Oryzias latipes: one gene and its partners. The protein of the gene in region 2 purifies or fractionates together with the protein of the main gene of each other region. This does not show direct contact. Links are inferred from orthologs where the notes say so. Each region holds a gene or a part of one and is shown on either strand. Other genes may lie near its edges. The genes, in order: histone-lysine N-methyltransferase SETD1A, ogt and death-inducer obliterator 1.

Region 1 (3,652 bases), on a different chromosome or scaffold from region 2:
AGGTGGCGGGGAGCTGGACGAAGAGGAAAGATGATGAGGAAGTGAGGTTGAAGATGGAGAGTTGGAAGAGGATGCAACAGAAGGCTGGGTCGGGGAAGAAGGCGGGGGTGTCTTTGGTGGGGCAGGTGGAGTGCTGGGACGGCGTTTGGGCTTCGTCCATTGGTCTCCGCGGACGGGGCTGTCCTGATTGAAGTCCAGCGTTCCGAGTGTCTCGGCTACGGCCGCGGCAATAACTGATGCTGGTGGGAGTGGAGGTGGTGGAAGAGGTGGAGGAGGCAGAGCACTGTGATGAGCAGAATGGTAGTCTTTGTCAGCACCAGGAGACGGCAGAGGCACTCTCTCTGAAGCGTTGGTGCCTCCTGGACGACTGGCAGCGTCCGGTCCCTGGGAAGGGGCTGAAGTCGGCTCTTTGGAGGCGTATGCAGAGTAAGATGATGGAGGAGGAGACATGCTGTTAGAGGAAGAACGGTAAGAGTTGGAACTGTATCTGGGGTCTGAGTTATTAGAGAAGTCATTGTCCCGATCTTTGTCCCGATCTCTGTCTCGGTCATGGCTGCTTCTCCTGCGGCTGCTGCTGCCGTGGTGGTTGTGAGTGTGGTGGTGGTTCCGGTGCCTCTGGTGGTTGTGTTCACCGGAGCGGGACCCCAGGCTGTCGCGCCGGTACCCCCTTTCATCCCTGCGCTCTGAGTGGTGGTGGGAGTGATGGGCGTGGTACTTTGAGGAGGAGTTTGTGTCCTGTGGGTGATGGTAGGATGACCTTCTGGAACCGATCCCCGCAGCCCCGTACCTCCCCCCTGAGTCTCTTTCGCGCTCCCTGTCTGACATCGGGGGCTGGTCAAACTGGTTGGAAATGGGAGGTGGAGGCATGGAGGAGTGATGGGCCATGTGTGGACCTGGTCCACCGACACCGGTGAAAGGAGGGAAGCATGGTGGCTCATTGGGGCGGTACGATGTGGGATGGGGGTAAACAGGGCGACCACGGTGGTACACGGATGGCTCCTGTAGGTCGTCAGGGTAGCGAGAGACTTTGTAACCTCCAACAGTGGATGAAACTGCAGAAGATGAGGAAGGTAACATATCCTGGTGAGGGTATCCGCTGCTCAAATTGCTTGTATTGTAGCTGGAATGCCTGCAACAAAGAGATAAGAAAAAAAATGAGCATCACTACTCAGCCAGTAGTCACTACAACAGCAAATATGAGCTTTAAGCTGTGAATTATTTTAAATTAAATCAACTATTAACCTTGTGCTGGTGAAGCCCGAGTCCTGTGAGAAAGGTGTGCCAGACCTGGAGCTGTAAGGTGTTCCCCCACCACCCTGAGACGAAGCAGAGGAACCCGGGGTATACTGGCCCACTAAGGAGGAGGGAGTGCTTTCCATTCGCTGTTCACTGTAGCCGGTGTCATTAGAACAGGGTGTGACGCCTCCTGATGTGAGAGCCTGAACTCCCGTGGCCAAAGCCACAAGCTCGCTGGATAGCCTACGCCTCATTTCTGACGGCTGCAAAGAAGAAAATTGTGTCTTTTTTTTAACATTTTAAATGATGACTTTAAAAAGATTGACACTCAACTTACAAATTCTCTTTCAATGTCAGAACAACAAAAGACATTTTTATTTATGTCCCACACAGGATTTATTCTTTTTCTTAAAAGAACAATTTATAGGAACAAATCAAAGAAATAGATTAGCTTCCCCCCCCCAAACATTGAGCTGCAACAGATGAATAAAACACCTAAGTGATGCTATAAGAAGAAGCTTGAGGAAACCCTTTAGATCCGTGATCTCCAACCTTTTTCAGGCCACAGACTAGTTTAATGTCAGACAGTATTTTCACGGATCGGCCTGCAAACGGCCGGAGCGGGCGTCCAACATTTTTTTTTATGGCTTACAATTTAACTTAAATGTTGTGTGTGTTCCTCTGCAAATTATCTATCTGCTTTAAACTATTTGTACACCAGATTTCATTAAGATAACATGTCAAGCTTCAGTCTCAATGGACTTTTGGGGATTTCCAACACCTGAACAAAGATAACAGGTATGTGATCTCCATTTGGGAGACAATTCATTGTCTTGATAATAAATAATAAACTGATTGTTTTAAAGACTTGTCAGTTTGCTGTGCACATACCGGGGTAGTGGCCGTTCTCAGAACCTGACCACATGTCATCGTGCAATAATGTGTATTCCGCCCCTTCTTCCATTCACCATCAATACAAGACGTTCCTCTGTTGAGACTCCACTAACACTATTGTCATTTCAGTAAATAAAACACCGCTACAGAAACTATATTAGACAGCTTAGAGGTAAAAAGTGTCAAAAACTCAGAAATGATTGCCTTAAACACAGGCTGGGCGTAAAGACTGTAAAACCAGGAAGTGATGGTGGACTTAAGCGTGCCAACCCACAGACCACTGAGCTCTCTGACCAGAGAAATGTTAAGTCTTTGTTGTCCTCAGCTGACCTCACCTGGACATCACATCTCACGTCAGAAGGAGAAACCCCAACAGGGAAAGAAGTACATACACTTCTCTCAACATCTGCTGGCCTACTTTCACAAATGAATAATAGAGGGCGTTCTGACCATCTACTGCACTTTGTGGTCTTCCAGCCTCATGGAGGAGAACATCAAGGACCTGAACCAAATGGCGGGGGCAGCAGAGCACATTTCTGCCACTGCCTTCACTTGCAGATACTCACAGTTCAACTAAAAAAAGCCAGCTTTTTCTCAAAAGCCTTTACACATCCATGAAATGATCGGTTTTCTTCTTCTGGCATCACCAAACAGAGGAGGGACGATCAGTACCAGAACCGACTAAAAAAAAAAACGTTTTCAAGGCAGTCAGATCCAAACATTAAAAGACGACGAGCAGATGACAGAAATTATAGCTGCATTTGTTTTTGAAACGCCTCTTACTACTATGTAAATAATAAAGACTGTGGATGGATGCAAGCTAGTAGTTTAACTATAATCTGGCACTGTTATGTTTATTGTTGTTTCTAAACATCGATTGAAAACCTTTAGGTCTATTTCTGCTTAAGCATACGTGTGTTTTGTATGTTACAGATCCAGATACAGCTATGCCGAGATACGGAGCACATTTTTACTGTTAATAAACTGATGATAGACAGACTGACGAAGGTTTTACTGCAAGTCCAGATGCCATGACTTAACTTCAAGACCTCACCTGGATGAACGAAAACCCTCATCAGTAATAAAACTAAAACATGATTCCTATTATTTTACTCCAGTCTACAAGTCTATAGTGTAAAGTGTAGAAAGTCTTGTTTATGCCAATAAAAGGAAAACTGCATTATGAAACTGTGATTTCTGACCTGCCTTTCAGATTCTGAAGTGAAGAAGCCTATATAACTCCAAAGTTCAGACAATTCTTAGTTTAAATTCACTTATTTTTGCTTTTATTTAGTCAAGATCAGAGGTTTACCGAGTGTTTTGTGTCATCTATTAACACACACACAGTACAGATGGCATTTCAACACTTCCATAGCTGAACACTGAATGCATATAAAATATGAATATAAATCAAAAACACAATGCTTACTCAACGCTCATCAATAACAGTTAAACATTCATGATGTAACAATACCGTATCAGGCTGGGGCTGAGTTGGGGGCTGAGGCTGGACCTTGTCTGT
Region 2 (3,652 bases):
AATCGGATCTGTTATGTTAGATGTTGGCCTCCTATGTAGACTACGTTTAACTCTTATTTAAATTAAACTGTACCAGTGAACTGGGAATTGTTTTTGGTTGTTTTTCCATTTTTTTATGTATCGTAAGTTATGTCATCGTCATGATATTGATCACTAATACCGCATATTGCGAGTGTTCCTCATTTTGTGCTGCCCTAATGTAAATCAATGACAAATCTGTATGATTTGTGTAACACAAACAATGCAAGTAGCATGTTTGCTGAAATACATCTTTGTTGGTACAGATATGCAGCAATGCAATAAAAGTAAATAAAAAAATCGGAGTACCACAGAAACATGACAGCAATAGTTAAAATTACACTTTTCTGGTAAATCTAATCCTTGGCACTTTTTTGTACATAAATGTTTTACTTGCATGCGGGATGAAGACCGTCCTGCATCTCCTGATTTTCCAACTCCTCTTCTTTCAAAGTTCTGACAAGAGTTTTGCTCTGGTTGAATTCCTAGACATTTTTTCACAATAATAACTTATATTTACAACATAAATTACGATGACACACTTTTAAAAACACAGCTTAAATTATGTATATTTCTTCTAACAACTATCGATTGTCTATTTGTTGATTGTCAACATCGTTGCATAAAAATTCGACACCGTGGAAACCACTGCAACGACAGGAAAGTTATGTAAATCAGCGCAAACGTGTGTTTTCTGCCGCTGGTGACCGTGTCGGTGTTGAGGGTTAACTGTGTTTATATTTTTGCTCACAGGTCTGCTCACTTCAGTACTTTGGCCATCAAGCAGAATCCAATGCTTGCAGAGGCTTACTCCAACCTGGGAAACGTGTACAAGGAGCGTGGTCAGTTGCAGGAGGCCATCGAGCATTATCGCCACGCACTGAGGCTGAAGCCGGACTTCATTGACGGGTACATCAACTTGGCAGCAGCTCTGGTGGCTGCAGGAGACATGGAGGGAGCAGTCCAAGCTTATGTGTCTGCTTTACAATACAACCCAGTAAGTGGTGTTATTAAGTACTTGAAAAATTTGGGGGGGGGGGGGGGGGGACTTGTTAGTGAAAACATTCTATTTTATTCTATTTTTAAATCTTTGTGTTTTTTTTTTTCTTTTACAGGATCTCTATTGTGTACGTAGCGATTTGGGCAACTTGCTCAAAGCCCTGGGACGTTTGGAAGAGGCTAAGGTACGCGTCTTTGTGTCTTCAATGCTAAAGATGTGGGTTTTATTTTCTCTCCTTTAGTTTTAGGATGTCTTTTTAGGCCATCGATTCTTCCTTTTTCTTTTATTTTTTCGTTACTTTTAGGAGCTTTATTAAAGTCCTCTTTTCTCTGGGGGCCAGATAAACATCAGCTTATTTTAGACTTGCAAGGAGCTTCTCACCTCACTTTAGAAAAGTTTTTTTGGAAATATTGAACTAGAGTCTAAAAGACTCATATTGCACTCTAAAGCTGTCCTTTCTTTAAACATTTTTCGAACTTAAATTATCTAAATCTTTATTTTTTCTGATCTTTTTGTACAAATTCTTTTTGACAATGGTCCTTATTACTTAGTCCCACTGTTTTTGCTGACCTTGCTAATGAAAGGTCATCCCCTCCCCTTTCAGGAAGAAAGGCTGCAGTAAGTGAACCCTTCAGATTGAACCCTGGCCCTGCATCCTAATGATGTTTATCTGGGAGGGAAAACGCTGGCTCGGTCTTTAAAGTGATTATGAACTGATATCAAGATAGAATTTATCTGAAGTGCAAAAGATAAGATGGTTTCTAACCTAACTGCTATACTCCTGTGTTGCATATCAAGTGCCCAATGACAATATTTCTATCCCTGTTTTCAGCTGGTAGTTTCTGCCAGTGTGGATCCTTTTTTATTTTTTTCCCCACTAGGAGTTTACAACTCAACTTTGTCACTTTAAAATGTGCTTGTCACGGGGGGGGGGGGGGGGGGGGGCTCCCTTGGTCCGTTCAAATCCGGTCATATGGAGTTGTCCTGCTGGTTACAGGCCATCTTATTTCATGCTAGAGGGGGGTAAAGGAGTGTGGAGGAGCATCAGGGAGTCACAAGCTCCCCAGCTCTGTAGCTCTGCCCCCCGCGCGCTTGCTAAGGATCGGTGGAGTGTGCGCAACCAGAGCTGTCTTCTTGACCAATCAGCTTCCCCTAGTTGATGCCGAGGCGCATCCCCACATGCCTTTCATGTCCAAAAGTCAGTACTTACACTGAGATTTACGATTAGTCAATCATTCTGATATTTATTGACATGCCCTGCCGTTTATTTACATATAAAGCTCATTCTTCAGTGCCTTAAGGCGGTTGAAGTAGTGTCAAGCAGACAGCTCACTCACTATTTGTGCTCCACCACCTGCGCCAGATGCTGGATTAGAAAGACAGTATGATGCGCAGCAGCAGCAATGACCTCTTTATTTCAGATCTGTGGAGACTTCTAGATACAAGTACTTAAACCACAGAATTTTCTTCCCTATCCATTGGCCAGGATTCAAGAAAGCAGGCCAGGATAAAGAAATCAAAGTTTTAAAAAATATATTTTCTGAAAATGCTAGTGGAATATAAGAAACGCATTGGTTCACATTTCTTCCCTTTTCCTTCAAATATGTAATAATATTCCTACTGAAATGGGATCAGTTCATTTGGGTAAGATCAAGCCAGTAATCGCCCTCTTTGTAGTTTGGTTTAAATTCTCAATTGGCAGGAAAATAGAGGTCTGACTACATGTCAGTGATTAACTGAACAGCAAAGCCTTTCTTCCCTCGGTTAGCCTGTAAGCAATCCTCTTGTTTTGTATCAGGCCCTCAATGCATGACTGAAAGCTAAAGCTAAAGCTACCATTTATTTTTGTTTTGTCGTGATTTGGTGCTTTATATCCATAATCAACAAATAATGTATTGTTTGAAGAACTTTTACTAACGATCTTGTTTTCTGATTTTGTCTCTTTTGGTTTTTTCCACGACTGATATTGTTATTTAGAAGGTTTCAGGTGGGTGACACTATTCCTGCGTAGGTGCCTGGCGGAAAGGAACTCTAGGGCAGCCTCAGTCCTCTCCTCTTCTTCCAGCCAGCTGCGACCACCACTCTGACAAAGTCCAAAAATATGGTAACGGGTTTGTAACTGCCAACAAAAGAAAAACCACCTTACTTCATGCTTGAGCCCCTCGCTCTTGTGAAAGAAAGAAAAAATAAACTTAATATTTTTCAGTTAGTTTTTATTGAAATTTGTTTTACTAATTAACCAATTTTATATGAAGTAAAAAGAAACTTGGATTTGGAAGCTGTAATTATGAAAAACATTAAGAACCCTCTAACACTTACATGCTGGTTATTTTTCCTATTTGTTTTGTTTTCTCCCTTTCTTTATTTGGAGTTGCAGCGTTCTGATGATGCAGTAAATGCGCTGTGAGTCTGCAGTAGCGCAGGGGCTGCGCAGCGATACCCTTCAAGCAACCTAAATGGCGGAAAGCGCACGCGTGCAACCCCCAACGCCCTCCCCCCTCATCCCCCTTGGCCTGTTTGGTTGCGGACCTCACCCCACCCAAAAACCAGCCTCGCTCCCAAATGCACCAAAACGCTCAAGACAGGATTTGTTATGACAAATGCGTTGAGCAGTTTTTGATTCATTCACCATCT
Region 3 (3,652 bases), on a different chromosome or scaffold from region 2:
TCTCTCAACTGCCAAAAGAGGATTAAGAAAGAGCGCTCCCCCAAGTGGGGATAGTGGAGATCCTCCTTCTCAAACTCCAACTGATGCAGAGACTGCTTCAGAAGCCAGCTTTGATGGCAGTGTTGACTTCAAGGCTTCAGAGGACAAAACTGATTCCCCAGAGAGGAAGACGAGAAGCGCTACAAAGAAACAGACTCAGAAGACGCCACAGAGAGGAATGCAGACCAGACGGAGTGGCAGAGTAGCAGCCAAGGATGAGGGAAGCTCTGAGAATGAGGAGGATAATAAAGATGAAATCAAAAAGGATCCAGATCAGGGGACAGGAAACAAAGACAAAAACAGTGACCCTGATGTTGTAGAGAGCAATGATACAACACCGCCTCAGCAGGAGCAAGACTCTAAGAATGAGGAGAAAACAGAATCTGAGGTGAAAAATGAAAACGCTGAAGACTCCGAGGACAAGCCTCCAGCTTTAACGGAAAGAAGTGGACCGTTAAGAACATATGTCAATAAAAAGAGGGCAGCAAAAAAGAACAGTACACCTGTCAGAGTTGTTGTGAACAAAAACACTGCTCCTACTAAGCCTAAAACTTCTGTTAAGACAAGCAAGCCCCAAATGGATGAGGAGGAGGATGACGATTCGTCTTCATCTTCGTCTTTAGATGAATCTGATGGAGGCTATGACCCCAATGCGTTATACTGCATCTGTCGTCAGAAACACAACAAACGGTAGGTTTTTTTTAAGTGGTTACTGCTACATTGTTGCATTTATTTTAATACTTAAATCTAGAAAATTTAAATGACAAACCCCATGAAACATTTGTAGGCAAAAGCCTGTTGCATTCTTGGTCTTTTTGTGATTGGTCCCTCTCCATCTAGATTTATGATTTGCTGTGACCGCTGTGAAGAATGGTTCCATGGGGACTGTGTCGGAATCACTGAGGTCCGTGGACGCCTGTTGGAAAGAAATGGTGAAGACTACATCTGTCCCAACTGCACTGCCAAGAAAAACCAAGTGGTCAGACCTGCCACGTCCCTCCTGTCTACAAGTGCAGATTCAGCCAGGTCCACTGTTTCTGCAGGTGGCTCTTCTGCCACTGCTCCCTCCTCTGGTTCTTCTGAAAAATCTGCTGTCAGTGGAGCAAACATTCAGGCTGTAGCACCACCATCTTCCACAGTAAGTGGGGCAGAGGAGAAAGCATCGGAGGACCTGGGCATCAAAGGTCGGATAGAGAAGGCTACAAATCCAACTGGAAAAAAGAAGATAAAGATTTTTCAGCCGGTACGTCTCTGTAGCTGATATAAACAAGAGTTTCCCCCTACTAATGGATTTTATTAGGTTTTCATAGTCTGTCATTGTTGTAGTTCATAATTAAATGACCTGCTTTTTCTGAACTCTATCTTCACTAATATTAGTGAACACAGCGGGTTGTTTACTCAGAGTACTCTTTCACTGTCCATGCTCAGACAAAGTTACTGCACACGCTGATATAGTATGTTTACGCCTACTAGCAGCTTCGAGGTTTTTTACAGCTTGCCTATTTTGCCAACATGCAACCCTCAGTGTTCACACGTTGAGTCCAGTAGATGCCCAACTTGAGCCCTGGACCGCCTGTCCCTTTGTTGTCATCTTTGTACGATTTTTTTTTTTGTGTAATATAAATAGTCTTGGGTTTGCCCCGTATAGAACCGAGAGCTCTGTGGCACAGGAGTTTTGTGCCTGATAATGGAGTGATTACATCAACTAAATCAGTGTTTCCCAGCCCTGGTCCTCGGGGAACACTGTCCTGTAGGGCTTCACAATATGAGGAAAACTTGGGATTTGCGATTGTAGTGGTCAATTTTGCAATGACGATATAACTTGGGATACATGAACAAATGGCAAAGCTACTAAATACATCATTTCCATTTCACTGCAACAGTTTAATTGATATTAAAGTCAACATAGCTAAAGTTACACTCCAAATGACCCTCGTCTGCATAGGAGGCGGGCATCTAACGTCAAAGGGCTCCATCTGATTGGTCAAATGCATAAAGGGATTTATTTGATTAAATACTTCAAGCTGCCGTAAGATTGTTGAAGCACATTTAAGTACCCTTTATCACAATTTTCGCGATATCTGTATGCACGCAATAAGGATACATTTGGGATTTATTGTGCAGGCCTACCGTCTTCCACGTTGTTTTCCATGTTGGCCTCCTTATGCGCACCTGATTCAGCTAATCAGCGGGTTTTGTAGAAACTTGACAATGACAGTCATCAAAGGCAGGTGGGTTTGAGCAGGGTAGGATTATAAAAATGCAGGACAGTGTTCCCCGAGGACCAGGGTTGGGAAACACTAAACTAAATGAAGTTTGCTTGGGTTTGCTACAAGTAAATTCTTAATCCCACAAATGTGAAATGTAGGGTGGCAGGGTAAACGGGATACCTATCAATAAGAGTATCAAGTATATCCAATAATCCAATAGGTTTATGCCTCTGGTATTTAATGCAGGTTGAAATATCTGTCATTCGCTGTTGATTTAATGTTGCACTGACTCCAACCAGGGGGTTCAGCTGGCAGTTCAACCGAAGGCAGCGCAGAAGGCTTCACGAATTACGGAAACCAAGGCTTCCCCATCGGTTGAACAGAAAGCATCAGCCGACACCGAGCAGAAGGTCGCCTCTGTTGTGGAAGTGAAGACGTCACCAGAAGTGGAAGTGGTGGAGGACAAGTCCGGGCAGAAGGCCGAGGATGACTCTTTCTCTCCAAAGTGCATTGGACCTGGTTGTGCTAAGAATGCTCAGCCAGATTCTGTGTACTGCGGCCACGACTGCATTCTGCGACATGCCGCCGCCGCCATGAAGTCCATCAGTGATGTCAAAGAGCCCAAGGACAAGGCTCCCATAAGCAAGTCCACAGCAAAGGTAACCCGGACTGACTGAAATACATTGCCGAAATGAAAGAAAACGTATCTTCAGTCACGAGTCATTGCTTTTAATGCTGACTTTATTTGACTCTTGGGAATTGTTTGCATGTCTGATTTGTATTAGTAAAAGGTTTGAAGGCAGCTTTTTTGTGAACTGTATTCAGGGCTTACGCTTTTTGTTAGCATTGCAATAAAAAGTGTTTTGATTTCCTCTGCCGACGTTCAGTAAATCCAGGGTTTGAAGTTCAGGAGGTGATGTAGATCTGAAGTTTGTTTTTTTGGGTTGACTTGTGAGAAATAACACGGGTTGGATATTACAAAGTGTTTTTAAAAAAAATGTTTTTTTACTCTGTTTTCTTCTCTTGTTGGGATAATTTGGTTTGCATGGGAATTGCAGCGGGCTTTTGCTGAAGACTTTTCTTTCCATTTTCCAAAAAGGACTCATGTGTCTTTAGTTTAAAGTTGGGGGGGAACTTTGCACTATACTTTTTTTGAAAACCTTTTTTCCTGATGAAAATATCTAAAAAAAATCAACACATGATATTCTTTCTTTTGTATCAGAATTTTGAAGTGCCTCTTTAAAACAATTTGAAGAAGAGGTCCATAAATTGCCTCCTGGTGGATGTTTCTTCTCCCAACGTAAATGGCAATTTAAGTAAAGGCATAAATAATAAAAACGCTTTATATAAGCAGACCATTTCTATCACAAGATGGTTTAATTGTTTAGGGACTTGGCTTTAAA

Evidence for each region.
Region 1: the proteins of ogt (region 2) and histone-lysine N-methyltransferase SETD1A purify together in Homo sapiens (affinity purification with mass spectrometry; 4 studies listed by BioGRID and IntAct, with this or other methods). This does not show direct contact. The link is inferred for Oryzias latipes from reciprocal best matches to the Homo sapiens genes OGT and SETD1A.
Region 3: the proteins of ogt (region 2) and death-inducer obliterator 1 purify together in Homo sapiens (affinity purification with mass spectrometry; 3 studies listed by BioGRID and IntAct, with this or other methods). This does not show direct contact. The link is inferred for Oryzias latipes from reciprocal best matches to the Homo sapiens genes OGT and DIDO1.

Annotation. Positions count from the first base shown.
Region 1 is NC_019866.2:4,052,551-4,056,202, forward strand, and holds part of histone-lysine N-methyltransferase SETD1A, read right to left. Parts: coding exon 3,605-3,652; intron 1,500-3,604; coding exon 1,243-1,499; intron 1,130-1,242; coding exon 1-1,129. UniProt on the Homo sapiens protein: Histone methyltransferase that catalyzes methyl group transfer from S-adenosyl-L-methionine to the epsilon-amino group of 'Lys-4' of histone H3 (H3K4) via a non-processive mechanism.
Region 2 is NC_019868.2:18,370,369-18,374,020, forward strand, and holds part of ogt (UDP-N-acetylglucosamine--peptide N-acetylglucosaminyltransferase 110 kDa subunit), read left to right. Parts: intron 1-771; coding exon 772-1,015; intron 1,016-1,133; coding exon 1,134-1,202; intron 1,203-2,995; exon of another isoform or gene 2,996-3,119; coding exon of another isoform or gene 3,120-3,122; intron 3,123-3,652. UniProt on the Homo sapiens protein: Catalyzes the transfer of a single N-acetylglucosamine from UDP-GlcNAc to a serine or threonine residue in cytoplasmic and nuclear proteins resulting in their modification with a beta-linked N-acetylglucosamine (O-GlcNAc).
Region 3 is NC_019863.2:25,950,389-25,954,040, reverse strand, and holds part of death-inducer obliterator 1, read left to right. Parts: coding exon 1-729; intron 730-879; coding exon 880-1,282; intron 1,283-2,548; coding exon 2,549-2,908; intron 2,909-3,652. UniProt on the Homo sapiens protein: Putative transcription factor, weakly pro-apoptotic when overexpressed. Tumor suppressor. Required for early embryonic stem cell development.